Oryctolagus cuniculus: one gene and its partners. The protein of the gene in region 1 purifies or fractionates together with the protein of each later gene. This does not show direct contact. Links are inferred from orthologs where the notes say so. Each region holds a gene or a part of one and is shown in the gene's direction. Other genes may lie near its edges. The genes, in order: NOLC1, ARRB1, CSNK2A2, NOP56, TCOF1, NOP58 and ARRB2.

What was found.
Region 2: the proteins of NOLC1 (region 1) and ARRB1 purify together in Homo sapiens (affinity purification with mass spectrometry; 4 studies listed by BioGRID and IntAct, counting the BioPlex papers as one, with this or other methods). This does not show direct contact. The link is inferred for Oryctolagus cuniculus from reciprocal best matches to the Homo sapiens genes NOLC1 and ARRB1.
Region 3: the proteins of NOLC1 (region 1) and CSNK2A2 purify together in Homo sapiens (affinity purification with mass spectrometry; 5 studies listed by BioGRID and IntAct, with this or other methods). This does not show direct contact. The link is inferred for Oryctolagus cuniculus from reciprocal best matches to the Homo sapiens genes NOLC1 and CSNK2A2.
Region 4: the proteins of NOLC1 (region 1) and NOP56 purify together in Homo sapiens (affinity purification with mass spectrometry; 6 studies listed by BioGRID and IntAct, with this or other methods). This does not show direct contact. The link is inferred for Oryctolagus cuniculus from reciprocal best matches to the Homo sapiens genes NOLC1 and NOP56.
Region 5: the proteins of NOLC1 (region 1) and TCOF1 purify together in Homo sapiens (affinity purification with western blotting; 4 studies listed by BioGRID and IntAct, with this or other methods). This does not show direct contact. The link is inferred for Oryctolagus cuniculus from reciprocal best matches to the Homo sapiens genes NOLC1 and TCOF1.
Region 6: the proteins of NOLC1 (region 1) and NOP58 fractionate together in Homo sapiens (co-fractionation; 3 studies listed by BioGRID, with this or other methods). This does not show direct contact. The link is inferred for Oryctolagus cuniculus from reciprocal best matches to the Homo sapiens genes NOLC1 and NOP58.
Region 7: the proteins of NOLC1 (region 1) and ARRB2 purify together in Homo sapiens (affinity purification with mass spectrometry; 5 studies listed by BioGRID and IntAct, counting the BioPlex papers as one, with this or other methods). This does not show direct contact. The link is inferred for Oryctolagus cuniculus from reciprocal best matches to the Homo sapiens genes NOLC1 and ARRB2.

What each region holds. Positions count from the first base shown.
Region 1 is NC_091446.1:27,777,595-27,781,681, reverse strand, and holds the start of NOLC1 (nucleolar and coiled-body phosphoprotein 1), read left to right. Parts: upstream 1-1,287; 5' UTR 1,288-1,506; coding exon 1,507-1,626; intron 1,627-4,087. UniProt on the Homo sapiens protein: Nucleolar protein that acts as a regulator of RNA polymerase I by connecting RNA polymerase I with enzymes responsible for ribosomal processing and modification.
Region 2 is NC_091432.1:66,421,641-66,425,140, reverse strand, and holds part of ARRB1 (beta-arrestin-1), read left to right. Parts: intron 1-1,533; coding exon 1,534-1,578; intron 1,579-2,130; coding exon 2,131-2,327; intron 2,328-3,337; coding exon 3,338-3,397; intron 3,398-3,500. UniProt on the Homo sapiens protein: Functions in regulating agonist-mediated G-protein coupled receptor (GPCR) signaling by mediating both receptor desensitization and resensitization processes.
Region 3 is NC_091449.1:41,524,230-41,527,729, reverse strand, and holds part of CSNK2A2 (casein kinase II subunit alpha'), read left to right. Parts: intron 1-259; coding exon 260-370; intron 371-1,014; coding exon 1,015-1,116; intron 1,117-2,103; coding exon 2,104-2,204; intron 2,205-2,966; coding exon 2,967-3,115; intron 3,116-3,500.
Region 4 is NC_091442.1:28,154,815-28,158,845, forward strand, and holds the start of NOP56 (nucleolar protein 56), read left to right. Parts: upstream 1-1,231; 5' UTR 1,232-1,337; coding exon 1,338-1,340; intron 1,341-1,503; coding exon 1,504-1,593; intron 1,594-1,876; coding exon 1,877-1,991; intron 1,992-2,722; exon of another isoform or gene 2,723-2,794; intron 2,795-2,886; coding exon 2,887-3,048; intron 3,049-3,139; coding exon 3,140-3,338; intron 3,339-3,402; exon of another isoform or gene 3,403-3,537; intron 3,538-3,666; coding exon 3,667-3,854; intron 3,855-3,934; coding exon 3,935-4,031. UniProt on the Homo sapiens protein: Involved in the early to middle stages of 60S ribosomal subunit biogenesis. Required for the biogenesis of box C/D snoRNAs such U3, U8 and U14 snoRNAs. Part of the small subunit (SSU) processome, first precursor of the small eukaryotic ribosomal subunit.
Region 5 is NC_091437.1:37,672,035-37,675,534, forward strand, and holds part of TCOF1 (treacle protein), read left to right. Parts: intron 1-627; coding exon 628-811; intron 812-1,962; coding exon 1,963-2,078; intron 2,079-3,437; coding exon 3,438-3,500.
Region 6 is NC_091434.1:37,711,662-37,715,896, reverse strand, and holds the start of NOP58 (nucleolar protein 58), read left to right. Parts: upstream 1-1,435; 5' UTR 1,436-1,670; coding exon 1,671-1,715; intron 1,716-4,235. UniProt on the Homo sapiens protein: Required for the biogenesis of box C/D snoRNAs such as U3, U8 and U14 snoRNAs. Part of the small subunit (SSU) processome, first precursor of the small eukaryotic ribosomal subunit.
Region 7 is NC_091448.1:51,501,635-51,504,464, reverse strand, and holds part of ARRB2 (beta-arrestin-2), read left to right. Parts: intron 1-614; coding exon 615-675; intron 676-752; coding exon 753-797; intron 798-936; coding exon 937-1,133; intron 1,134-1,383; coding exon 1,384-1,443; intron 1,444-1,706; coding exon 1,707-1,774; intron 1,775-1,905; coding exon 1,906-2,041; intron 2,042-2,271; coding exon 2,272-2,356; intron 2,357-2,568; coding exon 2,569-2,641; intron 2,642-2,830. UniProt on the Homo sapiens protein: Functions in regulating agonist-mediated G-protein coupled receptor (GPCR) signaling by mediating both receptor desensitization and resensitization processes.

The sequences.
Region 1 (4,087 bases):
GTGGCCCAGAACCTGGTGGGTGAGTTCCCAGGGTGGGTGACTTCTGACCCAGAAGGAAAAAGGGTTATTTTTAGGACTGTAGATTGAAGGGATTAATGCTGTGTGATTAAGGTTGTACCAACCTTTTCCCTTTCATGGAGTTAAACTAAACATAACCTGCCTATAAGGCAAGGAGGAAGGTTGTCTTAGAACCAAGTCAGGGCTGTTGCCGTGGCATAGTAGGTTAAGCCCCATATGAGCTCTGGTTTGAGTCCCAGTTGCTCCTCTTCTGATCCAGCTCCCTGCTAATGACCTGGGAAGGCAGTGGAAGATGGCCCAAGTGCTCGGGCCTCTACCCACATTGGAGACCTGAATAAGCTCCTGGCTCCTGGCTTTGGATGGCCCAGCTCTGGCCATTGTGGCCATTTGGGGAGTGAACCAGGGGATGGAAGAGCTTTCTCTCTCGTCTCCCTCTCAAACTCTGCCTCTCAAATAAAATTTTTTAAAAAGATTCATTTTAAAGGCAGAGTTACAGAGAGGCAGAGAAGAGTGAACATCTGCTGGTTCACTCCCCAAATGGCCACAACAGCCAGAGCTGGGTCGATTTGAACCCAGGAGCCAGGAGCTTCTTCTGGGTCTCCCACGTGGATGCAGGAGTCCAAGGACTTGGGCCATCCTCTACTGCTTTCCCAGGCACACTAGCAGGGAGCTGGACTGGAAGTGGAGCAGCTGGGACTTGCACCGGTGCCCATATCGGATGCTGGCAGTGCAGGCATTGGCTTTACCCGCTACTGCATGGCGCCGGCCCCTCAGATTAAAAAAAAAGGAACAGTCCTCAAAACCATCAGAGCAATGTATGATGAACCCACAGTCAGCACATTAAAAAAAAAAAAAAAAATCATGACTTGAGGGAGGAGCAGTTCTGGGAATCAAAACACGTCCAGCCCCTTCCCCCAAACAACTGGTAACTTGAGGGAGGCTCTGCAGTGGAGAGGGGAATTGAAAGGCTGGGGTGGTATTACCAGGACCCTCACTATGTGTCGGCTGCGGTGAAAATGAAGAATGGAACCACGGGCATCGGGAACGGGGGCAGCTGGGAACTCTGTGACCCTGTCTAAAGAGCCGAGGGCCCACGGGTCCAGTCACTAATGTGGTCCACGTCCCAGCTGAGGCGCGGGAAACCCACACTCGGAAAGGATGCCTCCCGCCCAAAGACAAGGCGCGGGAAGTCCCGAGTTTTCCCGCCACGCCGAGGGCGTGACCCTGACGTCAGAGCTCCGCCTTCACAAAAGCGGCGGCCGGTGGACTCCACCCTTACCAAGATGGCGATTTGCGTTGGACCGGAAGGAGCATAGGGTTTTCGCCTTGACCCCGCTTGCGGGGTGGGGTCAGGACTGCCCTGTGGAGTCCCACCCCTTCCGCTCTGCGCCCGCGCGGCGAAGTGACGTCACGCGCCCGCCCCCTGCGCCTTTCGGGTTCCTAGGTCGAGGTGCGTCGCCAACGGTAGTGACGCGTACTGCCGGGAGGATGGCGGACGCCGGCTTGCGCCGCGTGGTTCCCAGCGACCTGTATCCCCTCGTGCTCGGCTTTCTGCGCGATAACCAGCTCTCGGAGGTGGCCAATAAGTTCGCCAAAGCGACAGGCGCTGTGAGTCTCGGGCTTCGGACGCGGGCCGGGGCGGGATGGGCACAGGGTCCAGGCCCTGGCATGCTTAGGTTTCCTGACGAGCAGGTGTGTGGGGTCCACCAGCCCAGCATTAGCGAGGTCTTTGTTCCGATCAGTCGGCAGTGGCTGGAGAAAGCCCATGGCCCCGGAGTCCCTTTTGCGAGGTCTGAGTAGGTAACACTGTCTTGTTGCTTCCTCGCGGTGGAGAGGCAGCGGCGTGGGACCCGCGTGGTCGAGGTCACGTGGCTCGCAGAGTGCGGCGAGGAGCGAACGCCGTATCCCATTGAGAGCATTGGCGGCGCTTTTGGGAGGGGGTGCTCCTTGGCTGAGGCAGTGTGTGATTTGACCATAGTTTCGGTCGAATTTCCCTGGCCTCACAGATAAATGAAATTGCTTTAGGAACAAAGCCTGGGATTTTCGTTGCTAAAGAGAGGTAGGATTCCGTTTTTGGTTGTAATGATTTGAGTATAGGATTGAATAGCAAACAGCCCTACCAAGGAGACATAGGAGCAGGCCAGGAACTTTGGCTAGTGGACTCAAACTAAGTTATGTTTGGGACCAGGCCTTGCCACTTCCAAGGTGTGTGACCTGGGCAGTTTAATTAACCTCCCTGTCCTTATTTCTGCAGGAAGTTATTGTTCACCTCGTGGGATCTTTATGAATATCAGTACGATAAAATATGCAAAGTGGCAATCTCAGTCTGGTGCATGGATGAGTAAAAGTTGTTATTCATACTTAGGGCAATTTAGTATGCTCCAAACACCTGTAAGAGCAAGGTGGTCTGGAATGAGAAAGATTTATAAAATCTACATCTCAAAGAAAAGCTGACACATGCATCAGAAAACACCCGGAAAGAGATGGAGTGGTAGTCCTAGGCAGATGATAGAACCAAGAAGATAACTAGTTCTTTGTAGCAGTCAGAGTGGATTGCAACAGGAGGCGATCAGATCAGTGATAGGAAGAATTTATTAAGACTGGAACAGCCCTCCGAGGGATCTAACTACTTGCTTACTGGAACTGCTTTGAGTTGACTGATAAGGAGACTGCCAGGAGTGTTTCCACAATGGACAGTTAATATTCCTGGGTTTTATATGACAAAAGCTCATCTTTGTGCAGAGTTAACGAAGGGCTGGATGCTGTTGCTAAATGCTAAGTTCTTATTGCCTTATCACTTTTTTTTTAAGATTTATATATTAATTTGAATGGTACAGTTACAGAGAGGCAGAGAGAGAGAAAGAGAAAGGTCTTCCATCTACTGGTTCATTCCTCAAATGGCTGCAACGGCCTGAGCTGCATCAGTCTGAAGCCAGGAGCTTCCTCCGGGTCTCCCACATGGGTGCAGGAGCCCAGGGACTGAGGCCATCTTCCATCGCTTTTCCAGGCCATAGCAGAGAGCTGGATCGGAAGTAGAGCAGCCGGGACTTGAAGCAGCACCTATATGGGATACCGGCACTGCAGGTGGTGGCTTTACCTGCTACGCCACAGTGCCGGCCCCATATATACCTTATCTGTTATCCTCTCTGAGATGTGTAGTATTATCTCCATTTTATAGAAAGAAAAATTTTGGGTTAATTTGCCCAAGATCACACACTTTATTCCTATACTCAGCTGACTCTGAGCCTGTACTCTTCTATGTACTGTCACTCTTTTTTTTTTCTTAATCAGTTCATCTGTATCAGAGTAATTAATGGTTGAGTACCATTCTTTGCAGTATACAGTGTCCACCAGTGTTCTCTTGGAGGCTTGTTTCTAATAATTCACATTGAAGCAAACTCCCACTTGTATTAGTGTTTGTGCCCTTATTTCAGGGTAAAATAAAATTTTTTTTTAGTGATTTGTTTATTTATTTGAAAGTCAGAGTTACACAGAGAGAGAGGTCTTCCATCTGCTGGTTCACTCCCCAGTTGACCACAACGACCAGAGCTGTGCCGATTAGGAACCAGGAGCATCTTCCGGGTCTCCCAGGCAGGTGTGGGGGCCCAAGGACTTGGGCCGTCTTCTGCTTTCTCAGGCCAAAGCAGAGAGCTGGATTGGAAGTGGAGCAGCTGAGACTTAACCTGTACCCTATGGGATGGTGGCACTGCAGGCAGCAGTTTTACCCACTATTCCACAGTGCTGGCCCCAAAATGACTGATTTTTAAAATGTTGCCTGGGGGCTGGCACCTGAGGTTCCAGCATCCCATATGGGCGCCAGAGCTAGTCCTGGCTACTTCTCTTCCAAACCAGCTCTCTGCTATGGCATGGGAAAGCAGAAGATGGCCAAAGTCCTTGGGCCCCTGCACCTGTGTGGGAGACCCGAAAGAAGTTTCTGGCTCCTGGCTTTGGATCAGCTCAGCTCTGGCTGTTGCAGTCATTTGGAAAATGAGCCAGCGGAATGGAAGACCTCTCTGTGGCTCTACCTCTCTATGTAACTCTGTCTTTCAAATAAATAAAATAAATCTTA
Region 2 (3,500 bases), on another chromosome or scaffold:
ATGAGAGACCTGAATGGAAGTTCTAGGATCCCAGCTTTGGCCTGGCCCAGTGCTGGTTGTTTTGGGCATTTGGGGAGTGAACCAGCAGATGGAAGACCTCTCTTTCTCTGTTACTCTGCCTTTGAAGTAAATAAATAAATCTTAAAAACAAAACAGAGGGAAGGTGTGTGGGCAGTGCCCTGTCACTTGGAGCTGCCAGGGTGGCACTCACTTCCAGCCAGAGCCTCTGAGATCACGAGTGGCCCTGTGGCAGCCCGGGGTGGGCGTGGGGATCAGAGAGGAGACAGACATGGGTGAGGCGGGAGGTTGCCCCTGTGCCAGTGTCTCTGGGCTCCTGGGGAGCTGGCGCCAGGTCGGCTGGAGCCTGTGCTCTGAAGGGCCAGCTTGCTCGCTCACTGGCCACAGGGCTCACGCCTGCCAAACTCTGTCCGGGTGGCTCACACGTGTGACATTTTGCACAGTGTCCCCAGTCAGTCTTCCCAGGAGCCCTGGGAGTGAGCCATGCAGATCACAGCCCCTGACCCACAAACCCCAAATGCAAGAAGCTCGAAAGTCCCGCAGCTGTCCCTCGGCATGATGCACAGTTCGTTTATCTGTGGAACTTGACCGGAACTGATGGGAGGCTGGGCCCTAGCTGGCCTGGGAGGGGTAGGGGTGAACGCAGTGGCGCGTCTGCCTTCTGATGTGTCATTGGGTGACGTCACTGCGTGCACATGCAGAAGCTGAGGCAGCTGTGTCCTGGGTGGCATTGCCTGACAGGGCCGCCCTGTTGTGCAGCCACTGCTGAGTGAATGCTGGGGCCAGGAACAGACGGCCTTGGGTTTCCTTGCGGAGGGGGGAGTGGCTTGCCCTGTGAGCACAGTGTGGGACCTATGGAACATGCGCTAGTCAGAACTGCCCCGCTCCGAAGTGTGGTCCTGGGGTCTCCCAGCCTGTGTCACTGTCCTCTCTTTATTGAAGATTTATTTATTTGAAATGCAGAATGACAGAGAGAGAGAGAGAGAGTGATAGAGATCTTCCATCCACTGGTTCACTCCCCAGAGGACTACCGCAGCCAGGGCTGGGCCAGGCCAGAACCGGGAGCCAGGAACTCCATCCAGATTTGCACTAGGGTGGCAGGGAGCCAAGCACTTGAGCCATCCTCTGCTGCCTCTCAGTGTACACGTAGCTGGCAGCTGGACCAGAAGTAGAGACGGGACTCAATTCCAGGCACTCGGATAAGGGATGCGGCATCACAAGCTGTGACTTAACCCCCTGCGCCACAGCGCCCCACTCCCTCCGCCTCATGTCATTACTCTTCCTTAGAGATGAGGAGAGGTCCCTAATCTTCCCGGAGCCACCCAGTCAGCTGGGTCTATCCCGCTGACCTGGGGGAGAGGAGGGGAGGGCTTGGTGGGGCTGGGGCTGGGGTGCCGCCCCCGGGGTTGGCCTTCCCATTTCTCTCATGGTGCGTTTGGGTGGATGGAGGATTGAGTGTAGGGTGGCATTTGGGGCTCAGGGGTTGGGAAGGTCACTCTCTCTGTGCTCTCGCAGATGGTGTGGTCCTGGTGGATCCCGAATACCTGAAAGAGAGGAGAGGTAGGCTGCAGCCCCACCCCCACCTGCCACGGGGCCCCTCTCCCACGCCTCCTCTGTCCAGGGACCTCCTGGCCTCCCAGGGGGCCTCCGGCTCATCCCACTGCCACTCCCTGCCCATCCCTAGTGGGGCCTCCTGCCCCAGCCCTTTCACACCAGTGAGGGCTGGGGATGCCGACAGAGCAGGAGTTAGGACAGGGCCCCAGGGAGGGGAAGGGATTCTGCAGGGTCAGCGGGAGGAAGGGACGAGATGCCTGGCAGACACCTCCCAGCATTAGCTCGCCCTCCCCTGCTGTCCCCTGCCCACCAGCCCCAGCCCTCACTGCCCATCAGACCACTCCCTGTGCCCCCACCCCAACCAGGCAAGAGTGGGACAGAGATAGCCACCGGCAACACACCCACAGGCACACAGCCCATGGGCTGCCCTTCCAGGCCCCCAGTCCTGGCCTCTCCAAAGGGAGATGGGTGACCGCCGGGCTGCAGCGGGAGCTCTGGGTGGGGGAGGCTCCCTGCTGCTCTCCAGGCCCCTCCTCAGTGGCCCCTGCTCCCCCACAGTCTATGTGACACTCACCTGCGCCTTCCGCTATGGCCGGGAGGACCTGGACGTCCTGGGCCTGACCTTTCGCAAGGACCTGTTTGTGGCCAACGTGCAGTCCTTCCCGCCGGCCCCTGAGGACAAGAAGCCCCTGACGCGGCTGCAGGAGCGGCTCATCAAGAAGCTGGGCGAGCACGCCTACCCATTTACCTTTGAGGTCAGGGACTGCCACCCTCGGGCCCCTTCTGGAAGGGCGGAAGGGGGCAGCTGCTCCGTGTCACCCACTTGTCCCACGTATGCTGGGCCCTGGGGCACTTACGTGACCTGGTACCTGTCTCTTCTCTGGTCACTGCTAGAGCGTCCTCCTTACTTGTGGGATCCCCGCTGAGTAGGAGGGAGGGGAACCCAGGGGCCGCAGAGAGAAGGAGCACTGTGCTGTGTGGCCCCAGATCGCTGGGCCCGCCTGCCTCCCAGCTCCAATGCCCTGCCCTGCCCCCTGCCGATTCCAAGACCCAGATTCTGGGTTCCAGAACGCCGAGCTCCTAGGCTGATTCCATGCTGTGGGCATTAGAGCCAGGCGGGCTGCGGGCGTCTCTCTGTGCGGATGTGAGTTTCCTGCACTGCCCCGCAGGCCCCGGGCGATTACCCACAGCGATTAAGGCAGCTGACGTGGGTGATCTCACAGCTCTGGCAGCTGCAAGTCTGATATGGGTCTTGCCGGGCCTGGATCTGGGTGCTGGTGTGGCCGTGTTCCTGGATTACCGCCTCCCCCCACCTGGATTACTGCCTCCCCCACCTGGATTACTGCCTCTCCCACCTGGATTACCACCTCCCCCCCTCCCACCTGGATTACCGCCTCCCCCACAATCCCAGGTCCTTGACTCAGTCGCAGCTGCAGAGTCGTGTTGCTGTGGAAGGTGACCTAGCCACAGGCTGGGGGCAGCAGGGGGCAGGCAGCCTTGGGGGCCGTCACTCTGCAGCAGACGCCAAGGAAGCCTCCTTCCCTGCTATGACCGCGACGACAGGGCTGCGGGAGGCATGGCATGGCACGGTCTGATGGGGAGGCCCAGCTTGTCCTCGGGAGCCTCTAGTCTGATGGGGGAGACGTGTCTTGTCCTCGGGGCCCTCATCTGATGGGACAGGCACAGGCTCTCAAGGGCCTGGTGTGATGATGTGTGGGAGTGGCAGGAGTGCGGGTGACAGTGGCTCGTTCTGTCTCCTGAACAGATTCCTCCAAACCTGCCATGCTCTGTGACACTGCAGCCCGGGCCCGAGGACACGGGCAAGGTAGGTCACCCCAGGGGAATCTCTCTGGTCCAGGGCCCTCTTGTCCCCAGGTCCTGGCCTTCTCCCTGGTTGGTGCTGGACCCATAGGACCACCTGCCTTGTT
Region 3 (3,500 bases), on another chromosome or scaffold:
TGTTATCTGGAGAGAGTGGTGAGCCAGGGTAATTTAAATTAACAACAGCAAAAAAAAAAAAAAAAAAAAAAAAAACTCCAGGTGTTCTGCTCTAGAAGGGACCTTTTAGACAGCTGCTGAAACTAATTTTTTAACGAGTGCACCTGCTCACATTTTGTTTGTGGCCATATAATCATTGCCTGTGTGATGAAGCCTTGTTCTCTGGCACTGGCGCCTGGAAACCCTCCTCTCACGCGTTCTACTCCTGTCGTGTTTGCAGCTACGACTGATAGACTGGGGCCTGGCAGAGTTCTATCATCCTGCTCAGGAGTATAATGTTCGTGTAGCCTCGAGGTATTTCAAGGGACCAGAGCTCCTTGTGGACTATCAGGTAAACTTGTTAGTAGAGCTTCTTGGGGTTTTTTTTTTTTTTTTTTTTTTTTTTTTTTTTTTTTTTTTTTTTTTTTTTTTGACAGGCAGAGTGGACAGTGAGAGAGAGACAGAGAGAGAAAGGTCTTCCTTTGCCGTTGGTTCACCCTCCAATGGCCGCCGCTGCAGCCGGCGCACCGCGCTGATCCTGGCAGGAGCCAGGAGCCAGGTGCTTTTCCTGGTCTCCCATGGGGTGCAGGGCCCAAGCACCTGGGCCATCCTCCACTGCACTCCCTGGCCATAGCAGAGAGCTGGCCTGGAAGAGGGGCAACCGGGACAGAATCCGGCGCCCCAACCGGGACTAGAACCCGGTGTGCCGGCGCCGCAAGGTGGAGGATTAGCCTATTGAGCCACGGCGCCGGCTCTCTTGGGGTTATTTTGAAACTTCTTTGGGGCTTTCCCTCTTTGCTGTTTATTTAGTCAGTTTAGGTCCTTCCAGAACCCAGCCATTATTCTACCCCCCAAAAGCAACTTGCAGATTTTTTTCGGGTACTTTTTTTATATGAGGAGAGGCAAGCTTTCAGTTCTTAAATAACCTGTAAACGCAGATAAGAGATGCTTAGCAGAGAAGCGGGTTTCTGACACTGTTGATCGTTATTGCCTCAGATGTATGATTACAGCCTGGACATGTGGAGTTTGGGCTGCATGCTGGCAAGCATGATCTTCCGAAAGGAGCCTTTCTTCCACGGGCAGGACAACTATGACCAGGTGAGCGGACGCCATCCACTTCTGTCTACTGGGGCTGAATGCCAAGAAAAGGACGTCTGGACTGTTGCTGCAGTGTAGTGGTTTAAGCTGCTGCTGGCTATACCTGCTATATGTCCACGGGTTCACTCCCCAGATTGCTGCAACAGTCAGGGCTGAGTCAGGCCAAAACCAGGACCTTCATCTGGATCTCCCATGTGGATGGTAGGGGCCCGAGTGCTTAGGCCATCTTGCTTTCCCAGGCACATCGGCAGGAAGCTGGATCAGAAGTGGAGCGGCCAGGACATAAACCAACCCCTATATGGGGATGCTGGCCTTTGCAGCCCAACCCACTAGGCCACAGTGCTCTACTTCTGATCCTGCTCTCTGCTAATGTGCCTGGGAAAACACTGGAAGGTGGCCCAAGTACTCGGGCCCCTGTACCCACCTGGGAGACCAGAGTTCCAGGCTCCTGGCTCCTGCCTGGCCTTTGCAGCCATTTGGGAGTGAACCAGTGGAAGGAAGATCGATCGATTGCTCTTTCTCTGTCTCTCTTCCAAATAAATATATAAATAAATACATATTTAAAAAAAAATAATGTCCTTAGTGAGGAATGCTATTTTTGAGCCACTCACTAAATAGCAATGTCTGCATATAAACGTTTCTTCAAGGTAAAGAATGTCTCAGTCTTCTCTCTGGTTACAGAGACAGATGATGTCCTCTGTGCTACACTTGCCAAGTGATTTTATGAAGCAATTGGGGCCCCTCCTTGACTACTAACAGCAGATTCTAGATTGATACTCCCGTGATCATGAGCTTCCAGTAGGGTGATAGGCATTTATGTGGACGTCATGTTCTTGGATTTGTCAGCCCACATTAGACTCAAATCTGTATCTGGGCCCTGGAGGCCTGGTGGTGCGGAGTCTTCTGGCTCCGCTGGTCCTGTGTCCTCACAGACTTGCAGTCCGAGTGCTGTGCTCAGTGATTTGGTCAGCTTGTTTTATGTTTCAGCTTGTTCGGATTGCCAAGGTTCTGGGTACCGATGAGCTGTATGGGTATCTGAAGAAGTATCACATAGACCTAGATCCACACTTCAATGATATCCTGGGACAGTAAGTAAGGGGGGGGGGGGGGGTTGACCTCACCCCATTTTGGAAGCGGGAAGGTTAGCCAAAATCACTTTTCTTTCCCCTTCCTACTTGTACCAAAAGTGAAATGCTCTTTTTTTTCCCCATGTGTATTTTGAGATAACTTGGGCATGATATGTATCTTCTAATCATTTAATTTCTTCAGGATATAACTTGTGTTTGGATAGAAGATAGAAAATAAAATCATAGTGTTAGAGAAAACTTTCTGGTACAGCATGTGTTTATTTTAATGGCAATCTTAGAAAGCTGTGATTGTTCTTTGAATAAGAGATTATTAGATTTTCTGTGTTCTCTATAGCATATTTGAATTTCCAGGTGCAATGCCATCATGTTGAAAAGTTTGACAGTTTCCAATAAACAGTATATTTTTTGGAATTTTTGTGTTTCTGAGGTTAGTCTCTAAATATGTCTCCTGACCAGTAAATATAACTCAGAATAACCGCCTGGGGCATAAAAGATTACTGAGAAAGGTTACAAATTCTAAATAAAATTTTGAGATTTTGACTAGTTCTTTTGAATCCCAGGGCACTGTTTTGTGTCATGATGCTATAATATGACAGTGGGGGGCAGGGTGGGCACCCGTGAAAATGAGATGTAGCAGGATCGTAATGAGCCCAGGGTTCCATGATTTTGTTGACTTTGGCCCTAATAGGTGAGGGCTCTTGTACTCTCATTGGTATTCTGAGTCATGGTCTAAGAGTACCAATGCTTCCTTTTTCTTGTCAGACATTCCCGGAAACGCTGGGAGAACTTTATCCATAGTGAAAACAGACACCTTGTCAGCCCTGAGGCCCTAGATCTTCTGGACAAACTCCTGCGATACGACCATCAACAGAGACTGACCGCTAAAGAGGCCATGGAGCACCCGTACTTCTGTGAGTCACCAGGGACTGGGGTCCGGGGTTTATCTTTCACTCGAGGAAAAATCTTTCCCCCTTTATCTTTGAGACCGCTCAAAGGCATTCTGGCTCTTTGGATTAGATTGTTGCAGTTTGACCGCATTAGTCCTAGACAGCTGAGACAACTTTGCAAATTGGTTTCTTGATCCCCAGAAGTATTTGCTTGTTCACAAGCTGGAGCTCCCTTGGGTGCAGTCTATTTGACAGTTTCCTAGCCCCTCAATTAATAGACCCCAAAGATGTAAAAATTTGTTTTCAAACATATACATTAAGAAGCAAGTAATTAGAGGTGAGCGTTTGGCACGCACATCCTGTATGTATCAGGGTGCCAGGATTTGAGTTCCCTGCCTCACCTTCGTAT
Region 4 (4,031 bases), on another chromosome or scaffold:
AATAAAAAAAAGCAGCCTCTGTTTCCGTAGCAGACCCGAGTCTTTGTAAAAGCATTCAGGCATTCCAGACATCAAAGCTGGAATGGACAGCTCAGAAGAAACTGCTAAATAAAGTAGCTCCCTGAACCCAAGCCAACCGGAGACCCCCGTTCAATTAAGAGCAACTCCGTGCTGTAAGCCCCCGCTGATGGAAGCCTGTGGGTGTTTCCTTTAACTCTCCCAAACGAAGACCGGGGCCTCCCTCCTAACTCGGCTGCGCAGGTGGGTTGGTTGGGGTCCCAGTCGCGGCTTGTATTCAATAAACCTTGCTTTTGCATTTCGGTGTGATCCACTCCCTGGGGGGGGGTCTCTGGTGATCTGCATTTCGGTGTGATAGACTCTCTAGGGGATCTAGTGATCGGGGCACAACAGAGATTATTATGATTAAGAGGTCCTGACCACATGGAACCCCAAAAGGGGGAATTTGTCAGACGGCTGAGGTCCACTAAAGCTGTGAACGCGCCTGCTAGTTGCGGCTCAACAGCCCAAGGTGGAAGGGCGTGCTCGTCCTCCCTCGGGGTGGCCAGGCCTGGCTTGTTAAGTTCATTACTTAGCGCGGCTGCAGCATGGGGAGTCGTCGCCCAGAGACCCCCAGAAGCGGCTCCCGGGCCTCAGGGCCGCGAGCAACACCCGGCCGGCCCCGGGCCAGCGAGACCGCTCCACGAGGACTCGGGGTCGGGTCGCTCCGTTCCTACACTACCGACCGACACTCATCCGGCCCTAGAACTAAGTTACATATAACTCGGCAATGCGGCTGCGAGGAGCCACGTTCGCGGCGCTGACGGCGCCAGGGCGTCCCGCGTCCCGGAGAGGAGACAGCGCGCAGCCCACAGAGCTCGGGGCGCTGTCCGAGAGTGGGCGCCGGGAGCGTGGGCGCGCGGGCGGGCCTGGAGGCCGAGGGCAGCCACGCGGCGTGGGACGGGCTCTGCGCCCACGGGGATCCTCCTGCCCCCGCTTCACAAATTACGAAAATACGGGCCATCGGACCATTATCCGAAAAAGCGCCCCTCCACGCAGGCCTGCGGCCTGCAGGGCCTTACCGATCCCGCGTGTCCCGGGCAACCGCGCCCGCCCGCGCAGCCGCAGAGACCGGAAAAGGCCGGTTCGTCCGCGCGCCGCTCCACCGCGACTCGCGCTCTGGGCGATACCACTCCCAGAGGACCCCCTGCGAAGGCTCTGAGATAGTGCCGTCCTCGGCCTCTGATTGGCCGACCCGACGGGGGGCGTGTCCTCTGGAGCCTGGTTCTGCGCGCCAGAGCCAGAGAGCCGCATTGCGAGCCGGGCAAGGAGCAGGCGCCATGGTGAGGAGTGGTTGCGGGTCGCGGGCTTGTGCGGAGGCCGTGGTCTGGGCCTGGATTCGAATCCGAATTCGAATGCCGGAGCCCGGGCCTCGGTGTGTCCTGGGAGTGTGGCCGGGAGAACGCAGGGGCTGAGCTGACGGCCGCACCCCGGCTGCCGTTCCAGGTGCTCCTGCACGTGCTGTTCGAGCACGCGGTCGGCTACGCGCTGCTGGCGCTGAAGGAAGTGGAGGAAATCAGCCTGCTGCTGCCGCAGGTGGGTGGTCTCTGTGGGCGCGGGGGGCTCGCCCGGCTGCGCTGCAGCCCCTCGGTCGCGCGCCCCCGGCATGCACCGCGCGCTCCCACGTGGCCGGCCGCGCGGGCTGGAGGGGCCGGCCCGGAAGACTGCGGGGCGGGGGTCCTCAGCCCGTCGCGTGGCCGGGGTCGCGGTAGGAGCCATTGGAAGTGAGCGTCCCAGAGCAGAGCCCGGCCCCGGTGCGTCTTCCTGGCGCCCGGGGGCTGACGTCGGCCGCCGGCCGCGCCATTCATTGTCTCGGCAGGTGGAGGAGAGCGTGCTGAACCTGGGCAAGTTTCACAACATCGTGCGCCTCGTGGCCTTCTCGCCCTTCTCCTCGTCCCAGGTCGCCTTGGAAAATGCCAACGCGGTGTCGGAAGGTGAGTCGGCGTCGCCGCCCGGGGTCAGCTGGCTTGTTGTGATTAAGGTGCATTTCACGCATGCAACCCACGATGTAGGCTTTGGTTTCTTTGAGCATTGTAGTTAGCGATCAGTGGTGTTTTTTCTGGTGGCTGGTTTAACCTGCACGTGTGCCCAAGTTTGCCTAGACACGATTAGTTGTCTTATTAATTTTCTGCTGTGTCTTTTAATCTGTCGGAAGGGGCACTTTTGATAATTACAAGGGTGTTGGTCCCAGAAGGCAAATTGGGATAGGAGATACTATTTGAGAGGTAGAGATATAGACAGGGAGAGACCGAAAGAAAGATCTTCCATCCGCTGGTTCACTCCAAATGGGGCCCAAGGACTTGGGCCATCTACAGGGAGCTGGATTGAAAGAAGAGCAGCCGGGACTCGAACCGGCGTCCATAGGGGATGCCGGCGCTGCAGGCGGAGGCTTAGCCCACTGCACAGCGCTGTACAGCAGGACCTCCCACGCCAGTCCAGACTTGGTTTAATGAGATTTCAGTTGGTGACTTTTGTAGTTACTATACGGTTTCTTCGTTAGCTAATGTCTTAAATTGCCTTATTCATAAATTGGGCTTTATCCCAGGTATGTCTGGGAAACACACATATCTGGGGTCTGGGATCCACTGGGTGTCCCCTGCAGTTGAGGTGTGTGTCCCACTTGGGCTGTTGGCCTGTGTCCTGTTTCTCGTGGTTCAGCCAGGCTTTGCAATGATGACTCAAAATAATCTGTCAATCCCCTGAGTCCTGTCACTGATGTCTCCATGTCTCTGAGCAATGCCTGCAGGGAGGGCTGGGCCACACACGCCCGGGGAGGCGGGATCCCTCGGCCCTCAGCCACTTAGTGGGCGCCCTGCTCTTCGTCCTGAGGTGTCGTGCACGAGGACCTCCGCCTGCTGCTGGAGACTCACCTGCCGTCCAAGAAGAAGAAAGTGCTCTTAGGGGTTGGGGACCCCAAGATTGGTGCCGCCATACAAGAGGAGCTGGGCTACAGCTGCCAGACTGGAGGCGTGATAGCCGAGATCCTGCGCGGTGAGGCTTGGCTAGAGCCACGAGGTCGCTCCTGGGAGGGGCCCGGGGTGCCGGAGCTGGCTCGCTCACGCTCCCGTGTCGGCTGCCCCAGGAGTCCGTCTGCATTTCCATAATCTGGTGAAGGGGCTGACCGATGTGTCTGCGTGTAAAGCCCAGCTGGGCCTGGGCCACAGCTACTCTCGGGCCAAAGTGAAGTTTAACGTGAACCGGGTGGACAACATGATCATCCAGTCCATCAGCCTCCTGGACCAGCTGGACAAAGACATCAACACTTTCTCCATGCGCGTCAGGTAACAGCCAGAGGCCGCCCCTCACCGCGAGCCTCTGCAACGCCGGTCGGGCGAGTGTGGGCTGGGCCTCCTGGTGCTTACCACAGGCTGTGTTCTTACACTGACTGTATAGAAGGAGGAGGCAGAGCAGGCCCTCCCCATGTACACCTCAGCTCTGGCCTCATCGTGCCTGGGCTGTATTGTGAGTGGGGGGACAAGGCGTTGAGGGGACCGGCATTGGGCTTGTCCCTGTTTGCTCCAGGCCGAGTTGGGTGGCGAGGGCTGAGGCGGGTGCGTTTGTGGCCTTGCGGCAGCTGAGCCAGAACCAGGTGGGACTGTGTCTCTGCAGGGAGTGGTACGGCTATCACTTTCCGGAGCTGGTGAAGATCATCAATGACAACGCCACGTACTGCCGCCTCGCCCAGTTCATCGGCAACCGAAAGGAGCTGAACGAGGACAAGCTGGAAAAGCTGGAGGAGCTAACGATGGATGGCGCCAAGGCCAAGGCCATTCTGGATGCCTCCCGGTCCTCCATGGGTCAGCACAGAGCCTCACAGCTGGTACGGGGGGAGGGCTCCGAGCAGCTGGCACCTGCACTCACACTGGGGTGTTTCTAGGCATGGACATCTCTGCCATCGACTTGATCAACATCGAGAGCTTCTCCAGCCGTGTGGTGTCATTGTCTGAGTACCGCCAGAGCCTACACACTTACCT
Region 5 (3,500 bases), on another chromosome or scaffold:
CTGAAAGGGACCCACCCAGACAGCACCCCACTTCCCCGATGGTCTCGTGATGGGGTGCTCAGTAAGAGTCCCAACACTGGGTGCTACGTCGGGGGACAGTTGGTCCCCTCGTTCATCAGCTTTGGATGCTGCCCCACTCTCCAGCCCAGTCCCCTGGGCAGCTTATTTGCTGGGAAGTGAGGTGGGTGTCCCTGGGGAGCCGCGTCCTGGGAATGCTGCCTAGTGTTCCCAGGATGGGGCAGCTGGGCTGTGGAGGCCTCCCCGGTAGACTGTGCGCCACACCTGGGAGCCGTGGAGAACGCTGCTCGGCCCGCCTCGGGGGTAGCTGTCTCTGAAGACGGTCAGAGGCAAACAGGCTAAATAGGCTCTTGTGCCCAGTGGCCTTGCTCTGTGGCTTCGGGCAGCCGTCCTTGTTCCTGCAGACTTGGGCTTTCCCACTGTACCACACTGACCCTGGGAGTTCAGTGTGAGGGCAGATGGGCTGCTGTGGGCTGGGAGGTGCTGGGCTGGGGGTACCCCCCAGCTCTTTGGACCCCTTGCCTTGTGAAACCCTTCTCCACCCCACCTCCCTTTCCTCTGACCAAGCCTTTAATCACTAGGGGGTGTGTTTTGTTTTTGTTTTTCAAGGTGATTAAACCCCCTCTGATTTTTGTCGACCCTAATCGTAGTCCAGCTGGCCCGGCTGCTGCCCCCGCACAGGCCCAGGCTGCGGGCGCCCAGAGGAAGACCCGGGCCTCGGAAAGCTCAGCCCAGAGCTCCTCAGACACCGAGGATGAGGACGTGATCCCCGCCACGCAGTCCTTGGCTCCTGGTGAGCACAGCCCCGCGTGGAGCTGACTCCCGTGCTGGACTTCCCAGGCTCGGCTGGGAGGGCCCGGCAGCACCACCCCCATCGAGGGACAGGACGAGGGCCTCTTGCACAGCCAGGTGTTGGTCAGCAGGGCTTGGGGCTCGGCCTTCAGGTTCTGCATCAGGCATCTGGATGCGAGGCTGGCTCACCTGTGGCCCTGGAGCAGTAATTGCCAGGACTTCCCTGGGCCACCCCAGGCATGGGACCCAGACCACTGGCTGGAAGCTGCCCGGACCAGGCTCCTCTGGAGCTAGGGTGCTGTATCAGTGGGCTGTCAGGAGGGTATTGAGGCACTTGTCTCATTAGGTGATCCCTAAACAGGAACTCTTCGGGGAGGGACTGCGTCAGCAGAGACAGGACCAGCTCTGGGGTTTGACTTCTGAGATTCTTTGCTTCTACCAGTGATAGCAAGAAAATGGTCGATGTCACCATTGTTGATGTTACACTTTTACGAGGAAGTAATATCTGATAACTGGCGAGATAGTTGAGACATACAGGTTAGCACAAAAGAAGACAACACCCCCTGTAATCCCACTGCCCCCATCACTGTTGAGGGTTTAGTTGCTAACCTTACAAAACCCTAGGGTGGACATGTTTGTCTTTAAAGTGAGGCCCCGGGATTCTGAGTGGCTATCTCGGGATGCTGTGGGATTTTGGTCCTCCTATCCTTCCCGCGTGGTTCCTCCTGGCCAGTGCCCTGTCAGAGGACGCGAGGGTTTGGTGGGGACTGTTGTATCCGCTGCTGCAGTGAGCAGCACGCAACCACAGACACTTTGGGCGATTTTCGTGAGATGTTGCAGCCACAAGGACGGCCCTGGCCGCCGCCTGCCAGCCTCTTGCTCAGGAGCAGCAGCCTGGCCTGCGGAGAGGCGAGCGGAGGAAAAGAAACTCACTGCCATAGCAGCTCTTCGGGCCCCCTCAGCCCAGCTGTGACACAGGGACAGCGCCCGCCTGGCAGGCTCGAGGAGGGGCTATGCCAGCTTCCTCCTGTAGAAGCCCTGAGCGTGGCACAGGGCCCCAGGAAGGGCTGAGTGCTGGACTGGGGTATTGCCAGTGCTGGGGAGGCCGTGGGGCTCCTGGGCACTTACTTGCCCCATCCCTCTCTTTTTCAGCCTACAGAACCAGCGTGGTGCCCACTGGCCACCCAAGGACAGGCCTTGGGGCCAGCGGCAGCGAGGAGAGCAGTCGGGTGTCAGAAGGCAAGAAGCAGGAGACACCAGCCCCGCAGGTACCTGCACAGGCCTGTGGGGCAAGGGGCTACAATTGGCTGTCACTTGCACACTTGTGCACCCCGGCGGTGGCAGTAGCCAAGGCCTTCCTGGTCTTGTGGCCACAGCCCGCAGGTTTCAGAGCCACCTTAAGCTGTCAGGAAGAGCAGTCTGGGGACACAGCTCTGCTGGCCAGTTGCATTTTTGTTTTCTTTGCATGAACATGATAAATGCTCTACTTAAGCATGTGTTATGGTGACTTTATCAGTCTCCCTGACAGTCACCATTTCAGTGCGTGTTTGGTCCTTGCCTGAATCTCAAGACTGCGCAGGGCAGGATTGGTGGCCCACTATCTCAATGTTGAAACTAGCGTGCACTCCCCAGGGGCCTCCAGTTTGACCGGGCCTGGGCTCGGCAGACCTAGCTCTTGGCCCTCAGCATCTTTGGCCATACTAGTCTGCTGCCCATCGCCTGGAGAGATGCCCACTGCAGACTCCATGCCTCTTTCTGAGGCACTGGTACCTGGGCATGCCCCCCTCTCACTGGCTCTTCACGAGCCACAGTCCAGGGAGAGTTTCTGGGAGCATGGGTGCTGGGTGGGTAGCCAGGCTGGGGTCACAGCCCCCAAAACCCTGTATCCCTCCATGCCAGGCCTTGGGGCTGAGGCCAGAGCAGGACGGGGAGGACAGCAGCCATTAAACAAAAAGTTCTCACCAAATTGGAGGTGCTGCAGAGGGCACCAAGCGCAAGCTCAGGATGATGGGGTGACCTGCTATAGGAAGTTGGGCAGGGAATGCTCGCCCGGGAGGTGGCCTTGAAGCAGGGGACGTGGCCGCGTACAGGGTGTGCTGGGGTGCCATGCAGGCAGGAAGGCCATGGTGCCATGACCCCAGGCCTGGGAAAGCATCTAAGAGAAGGTAGGGAGAAAGTAGCAAAGGCAGAGGGGCTGTGCGACAGCTGAGGGGCCCTGCGTGGGAACCTTGAGGCCCTCTGCAAGGACTCTCCCAGCTTTGAGTTCTCTCCAAGTGCTGGTGGGTGGAAGAAGTAGGAGTGGTACCAGGGAGACCACGAGGCATGAGATGGGTCTCCGAGGAGGGCAGAGACTGAGTGTGGAGCTTCCTGTAGGGCCCGGGCCCCTTCCCTGCTTTGGCCTAGGAAGCTCGCTCTGTGCTTTGAGAACACGGACCAGCTCATAACCTGAGGCCTGGCACTCCTTTCTCTGCCTAGAGAGTGATATTGCTCTTATGACTGTCCCTCAGCCCCCCAACTCAAGTCCCATGGTCCCCTCCCACCGCAGCCAGACCTAGTCTGATCCAGGCACGGCCTAGGTGACACCCCAAGAACCCATGAATTTCAGGGCTGCTATTTGCTATCCACAGGTGGCAAAGAGGAACCCAGCATCCCTCCCGCTGACCCAGGCTGCCCTGAAGGTCCTCGCGCAG
Region 6 (4,235 bases), on another chromosome or scaffold:
CTTAGTGGAGGGGCTTTCTGGCCATGGAATTCATAAAATTCCTCCCAGGACTCCACCAGCACAGGGTTATTGGATCTCATAGCCCCCTTTGGAGCAGGCCAGAAAAGATTCCCCTAAGCTGCTCCAGGGAGAGGGCTGGGACCCCTATAAGGTTATGGAACAAGGACGAGACTTTTGATGCGCAAATGCTGGTTCACTTCCAAAGCTTACTTCCACATTTCTTCCCTCATTCAGCCACAGAAAAATTCAGCCCCTTGAACACACATAAGCTAATGTCTACCTGGATATCTAATCGCTTGATTTTCCCTCTCTTTATTTGTTGACTGTTATTCGGTCAAGGATTTCCTTTCCTCCTGATCCCAGGCTGTAGAGTTGCTGGAGAAAATCAAGTCGCTGGGTGTTCATAATTTTGAGCAGGCTGCAATGTAATATTTTGTTGTTGTTGTTGTGTTTTAATTTCTCAAATGTTTCATGTTTTTATTTAGCTTTCTGACTCCGTACTTGTGCCTTCAACACTTGCACTAAGATTTTCTGCTCCTCCTTAAGGAAGGCACGCTTGATCCTGTCGCAGACATATTTAACACACATGGAGCCACCAAAGACACTGCTGACATGGGTTTTCGTTTTAGACAACCTCATCGGAACTTTTAGGTCTCCCAGCTCGAACCCCTCGAAGTTTGGGCACACGCCATAGGCAGAGTTTGGTGCCTTCCCAATGCAATGTAGTTTTTTTTTTTTTTTTTTTTTTTTTTTTAAGATTTGCTCATCCATTTGAAAGGCAAAGTTACAGAGAGGCAGAGGCAGAGAGAGAGAGGTCTTCCATCTGCTGGCTCACTCCCCAAACGGCCACAATGGCCAGAGGTGTGCCGATCCGAAGCCAGGAGCCAGGAGCCAGGAGCCTCTTCTGGGTCTCCCACGCTGGTGCAGGGGCCCAAGCATTTGGGCCATCTTCCACTGCTTTCGCCAGTCCCAGCAGAGAGCCGGATCGGGTGTGGAGCAGCGTCCATATGGGATGCCGGCACTGCAGGCGGCAGCCCCTCAATGCAATGTAATATTAACAGAAAATCTGCACATAGGTCTTGGGAAGTCAGGAAGTATATTATACTAATTATATTGACAGGGAGACCTCGAGATCATTTTAAACAACCGCAGTAAACACGGGAGACGTTTGCATACATCAGAAAGAAATCTGCTAAAAATCAGTTTGCACGTGCAGAAGAGAACGGCCAGGAGTGCTCGTAAACACAGTGACAGTCCAGTTCTCATTCTGACGCCCTCACTTCCAGGCAATTTTTCTCTTTAGAACTGCGCACGGTCAGGCGGCGCAAAAACTCAGTTCCGCCCCTAAGACATCTCGCGATATTTTGAGGTCCCACCTCCCGCCCCCTATGGCGGGAACATTCCGGAAGTGGCCCCACTCTAGGCAGCAGTCAGCTGCCGGAAGTGACGTCAATCCCCCAGAATCCTTGGAGAAGGAGGAGCGGGTTCCTGCGTTCCACATGCAGCACAGCGTGGAATCTCAGCGTAACGCGGTGTGATTCTCCGGGAGACGTGCGCCTTTGTGCTTTGCCAGCCGCGGCTTGGAGCGCTTTTTGGGGGCCGCGCGTTGATTCTTGTGCATTGGTATAAAGCCCGTGGCGGGCCCTGCGGCCCCCTGACCCGGCTTCACCATGTTGGTGCTGTTTGAAACATCCGTCGGCTACGCCATCTTTAAGGTAGGTGGGAGATTGAGCCGTTGGCCAGGGAAGGCTGGTTTGGACTGAAGAAGAGAGGGTCAGACTTAAGGAGGGGATGAGACTGCCTAGGATCGCACGGGAGCTTTTTAGGGCCCCGGGCTCTGAAAGGGGAAAAGTCTGAGAAGGCCTGTGTTTCGGTGGTGAACACGTGGCCCCGCCGTTTGGGGCGACTCGTCCTGCGTTGAGGGGTTTGGCTGGGTTCAAGACGTGGACGGGAGCTGTGAAGAGTTTTGCAGGTTGTGAAAAGCCGTTAACATTCTATTCTGGGCGTTTTAAAGATGGATCGAAAGCTTTTAGGAATGACGATATAATGTGCCTTTTAGTAAGGTGGTTTTTCTGTGCGGATACTAGATTGTGGGGAGGTAAGAACCGAAGCAAGGATATTTTTTGCGTTAATTGAGGAAATGAAATCGCTTTGGATTAAGGTTGGGTATGGGGGGAAACAAATAAGAGAAATTCTGAGTAGAACTGACAAAATTGACCGATGGATTGAAGGTGGTCTTGGGGTTTAAGAACTAAGTTTGCATACATCAGAAAGAAATCTGTGCTAAAAATCAGTTTGCACGTGCAGAAGAGAACGGCCAGGAGTGTTCTTAACCACAGTGAATGCTGTGGGGAACCCTAAGATTTAGAATTTGGGCTGTGTGAAGCTTCCCTTGTCTGTTAGAATGCAGTTGTGTAGATCAGGTAATTCGGTGTTTCAGATTTGAAGCTTACGGGAAGATCTGGGTTGTGATAATTTGAGATTTGGTTGTTTGAGTAGGGAAAGTTTGGAATTAAAGAGTTCCTCAGACGGAAATGGGTGAAGAGCGGGCCCTGCCTGCGGTGGGTTGCTGTTGAGATGTTAGAGTATCTTAGGTTGAGGGCTTGCCATGTGCCGGGCGCTCTTCTGAGCTCAGCAAATACAGCACCGAGCCAAAAGCAAATTTATTATATACATATTATTATATATGTGTGTGTGTTGGTAGAAAGCCAAAATTGCCTTCCAGAATATGTATACTACGATTCTAGTTGTGACTCAAACTAGTCAAGTGTTTGTAGTTTGGATGCGGAAAGTGTACAGAGAGTTTCTCCTAAAGTTTCACTTGTGACTTTTTTTTACACTTGCATTTGATATTTCAAATATTTGTTGTTTTTAAGAAAATCAGACAAATAATGGTTTTAAAAAACGGCAGTTTTGCTTGGTTTCTTTCATTGGACTCTGTAATTGCAGTCCTGGCGAGAGCTCTGGAGCTTGTCTGTTGTGCTTTTCTCCAGTTTTGGGGGAATTTTATCGGAATTATGTAGGATTCTGCGGATGTCCCCAGTTCTCTGAGCCGGTGTGGTCTGTTATATTTTGAGTCTGTCTGTCAGTTAGGTCCATTGTAAACTTCCTCATTGTTTTCTTGCCATTTACTTCTCTGCAAGTTACCGTTGGAAATCAGGAAATTGTGGTTTATGCAGCAAAGTATATTGGATAAATAAGTTGGGCTTGAACACAACGAAATGTTGATTAATTTATAATTGTTTGGAATGGATGTTGATTTTGAATAAATATAAATAGAATTATACAGTAATGGACAATTTTGTGAAAAGGAATCCTACATTTTGAGAAGGGTAAATATTACAATATGGGAGTTCTCAGAAAAAGGTGTACATAATGTACAAGGTTATTAGCTTCCTTTTCACGTTCTTTCAAAATCCAGGTATCAGATTATATTGGTTGCATGAAATTCATGCTTTGATAATTCTGTAGTTTTTTCACTTCAATTAGGACCTAGTACGTACCTACACATTTATAGTGATTCAGAAAAATGAGACTCTAAGAAATTTCTTATTGCTCATTGACAAAATTGTATATATGGATGCAAAGACAGCATGTAAAAAAACTTAGTTACTTTCAGAATATTAAAAAACCCAACCTGTGTCTTGTGTCATATGGCACACAGTATAAGATTAGACAATCTTTAGTTTTGTTAATCTCAGACTTTTAGCTGTGCTGTCCACATGCAGTTATTGCATGCTTGAAATGGTGGTATGGCTGCAGAAGTCTAATTTTTAATTCTAACTCGTTTAAATCTTACCTTGTACTGTGTGGCTGTGTAGTTTGTGTAGCATTGTTTCTTTTTCTCAAGGCTTAGAAGAAGAGGATTTTGGTGTGTATGCCAAATGTTCAGATATAACCTGCTTACTGAGCAATGTTACATGCTATATAACCCACCTTGTGTTTTAGTAAACTTTGTACAATTATGTCACCTCTACAATCTAGTTTTTAAACACTTCATTCCAAAAAGTTCTCATGCCCATGTTCATGTCAGTCTCAGCTTTCTGTATAATTGTGTTTCTTCTAGAGATTTCACATATGTAGAGTAATATTTTAGTTTTTTGTGATGGGCTTTGTTTACTTGTCTTGATTCTTTTTGAAGATAACCAGTATTGCATATGTCAGTTTGTTCCTTTTTGGCAGTTCACATTTTAAACTATTTTATTGCTTCATCCTGTGCTCAGACGAGTTTCAGA
Region 7 (2,830 bases), on another chromosome or scaffold:
CTCCCGCGCTGCTGATCCAACCTTTTGACCCTCCCTGGGCCCGGTCTGCCCCTAGACCATCCCCGGCCCTAGCTCCCCACTTCCTGTGACAGCCCCGAGCTGACTTCCTTCCCTCCTGGAGTCCCTGGCCACAAGGCTGCTGGGGCCAAGCCTGGGTCCCTAAGCAAGGCCAAAGGGGAGGAGCCCAGAAGCCAGCCCTGTACCTGTAGCTGTCCCAGGAGCCAACCCAGAGGGCCTGGGGCTGGGAAAAGTTAACAGCTACCCCACCCCCAGGCGATGGTCTGTTTATCCCAGAGCTCCTTGGGGCACCCTGGAGGCTGGCAGCTGAAATCTAACCAGCTGGTCCTCCCTGCGGAGGCGCGCGCACACACACACCTACACACACACCTGGCTGGTAGACAGGTGTGATGAGAGGTTAGGGAGCAGCAAAATAGCCCAAAAGTTGGTTGGGCAGCAGGGAACCCCCAGCGCCCTCACCCTTCAACAGCGCTGGGAGGAAAACTAGAGAAAGCCCAGGCTGGAGAGCCCGGGGCAGGCGCCCCGGGGTTGGGGGAGGGGTGGACGCCCTGTCACCATGCTCTCCACTCTTCCCTGTGACCCCTTGACATCCTCAGCTCACCGTGTACTTGGGCAAGCGGGACTTTGTCGACCACCTGGACAAAGTGGACCCCGTCGGTAAGTGTCCCCAGCGAGGAAGGGGCTGCTCGCTCCCCGAGAGTGAGTCAGACAGTGATCCCTGTGTCCCTCCCCAGATGGCGTGGTGCTCGTGGACCCTGACTACTTGAAGGACCGCAAAGGTACTGGCCCACGTGGCATGGGCTGGCATCGGAGGGTACCCCAGAGAGATGGAGGGCTGAGGCGGAAGCTGGGAGCGGGCTCCGGGCCAGTCTCCTGGGACGGGGTGCTCCTCACCGCACCCCCCACCCTCCCTTGCAGTGTTTGTGACCCTCACCTGCGCCTTCCGCTATGGCCGCGAAGACCTGGATGTGCTAGGCCTGTCCTTCCGCAAAGACCTGTTCATCGCCACCTACCAGGCCTTCCCGCCAACGCCCAGCCCGCCCCGGCCCCCCACCCGCCTGCAGGAGCGGCTGCTGAGGAAGCTGGGCCAGCATGCCCACCCCTTTTTTTTCACAGTGAGGATGCCCCACCCCCTCTGCAGGGCAAGGGACCTGGGAAGTGTGTGCAGGTGGGGCAGGGGCAGGGGCAGGGAGGTGCCTGTCACGGACAGGTCCACCTCCGTCAGTCATCCCGTATCCAGGAAGCCCTGCACCTGGCCTCCTCTCTGGGGCCCTTCCCTTCCTCCAGCCTTTGATGTTGAGATTGGGAGGAAGGTTTGGGGTCTTTTCTAGGGGGGCTGAAGCCTCCCCTTTTCCCCTGCTGCAGATACCCCAGAACCTGCCCTGCTCCGTCACGCTGCAGCCGGGACCAGAGGACACGGGGAAGGTACAGGAGTGGCTTGCTAGGGAACTGTCCCCTGTGGGAATGGGGACACCGTGGGGTCACTGCCCCCTGCTCTCTTGACCTGCCCGTGCACTGCCATGACCAAGCCTCTGCCAGGTGCCGGGGGAGGCACAGCAGGGAGACCCTGTGTGCTCCTCGGACCACGAGGGGCAGGAGCACCCCAGCCCAAGAGGGGGGACAGGGAGAGAAGTGGGGGGGGGGCGGGGGCCTTGTGTAAGAGGCTGCCTTTTCTGCCCACCCCCCAGGCCTGCGGGGTAGACTTCGAGATTCGAGCCTTCTGTGCCAAATCTCTAGAAGAGAAAAGCCACAAAAGGTGAGGGAAGCAGCCTCCTCCATGGCTGAACCACTCCCTCGCTGCTCCCTGCAGCCCCCCCTGCCCCAGCCCCTCTAGGGGGTGGGTGCAGACTTCAGGGATCTGAGGACTTGCTCCTCCCCGCCCCCCAGGAACTCTGTGCGACTGGTAATCCGCAAAGTGCAGTTTGCCCCAGAGAAGCCCGGCCCCCAGCCCTCGGCTGAAACCACACGCCACTTCCTCATGTCTGACCGGTCCCTGCACCTTGAGGCTTCCCTGGACAAGGAGGTGGGGTGCGAGGGGGCGGCGCAGGTGCCACAGAGCAGGCCAGACCCTGGCGGGAGGGGGGAGCCAGCCACAGGTGTAGAGGTGCTTTCAGAAGCGGCCGCAGTGGTGGGGGGAGAAGCTCTGTGGGCTTGGCTTTGGGGGAGGACAGCAGTGTGCCTCTGTTGGGAGCACGCTGAGAACGGGGCAGTGAAGGCCCAGGCGGGGCTCACAGGGCACTCTCCCTTCCAAAGCTGTACTACCACGGGGAGCCCCTCAATGTCAATGTCCATGTCACCAACAACTCCACCAAGACCGTCAAGAAGATCAAAGTCTCTGGTAGGAGGTGGGGGCTGCCAGGGGCTCTTGGGGGAGGCGCGTGTCACTGACTCCGTGGCTGCTGCTGCAGTTTCGGCCCAGGCCATCTCCCAGCCTGAGAGACCCACTGGGGTGCACAGAGTCCATGCTGCCCCAGACTGGCCTGGGAGGCGTGGCAGCAGTAGGGGCGGGGCCCGGGGCTGTGGCACTGCCTGACCTCGCCCGTCCCACAGTGAGACAGTACGCCGACATCTGCCTCTTCAGCACTGCCCAGTACAAGTGTCCCGTGGCCCAGCTCGAGCAGGAGTGAGTATGAGAACAGCCCCGGGTCCTAGTGTCAGGGGGAGAAGGCGAGGCCTGGGCGAGTGTCAGGTGTGTGGGGGGGTGCAGTCCCTCCTGAACTGTCTCCACCGAGAAGGGGGTTCCTCCGCAGCCAGCTGGCTCCACGCTCTTCCTGCCCATGAGCAGGTGGAGCCCAGACCTCCTCCCCTGTGA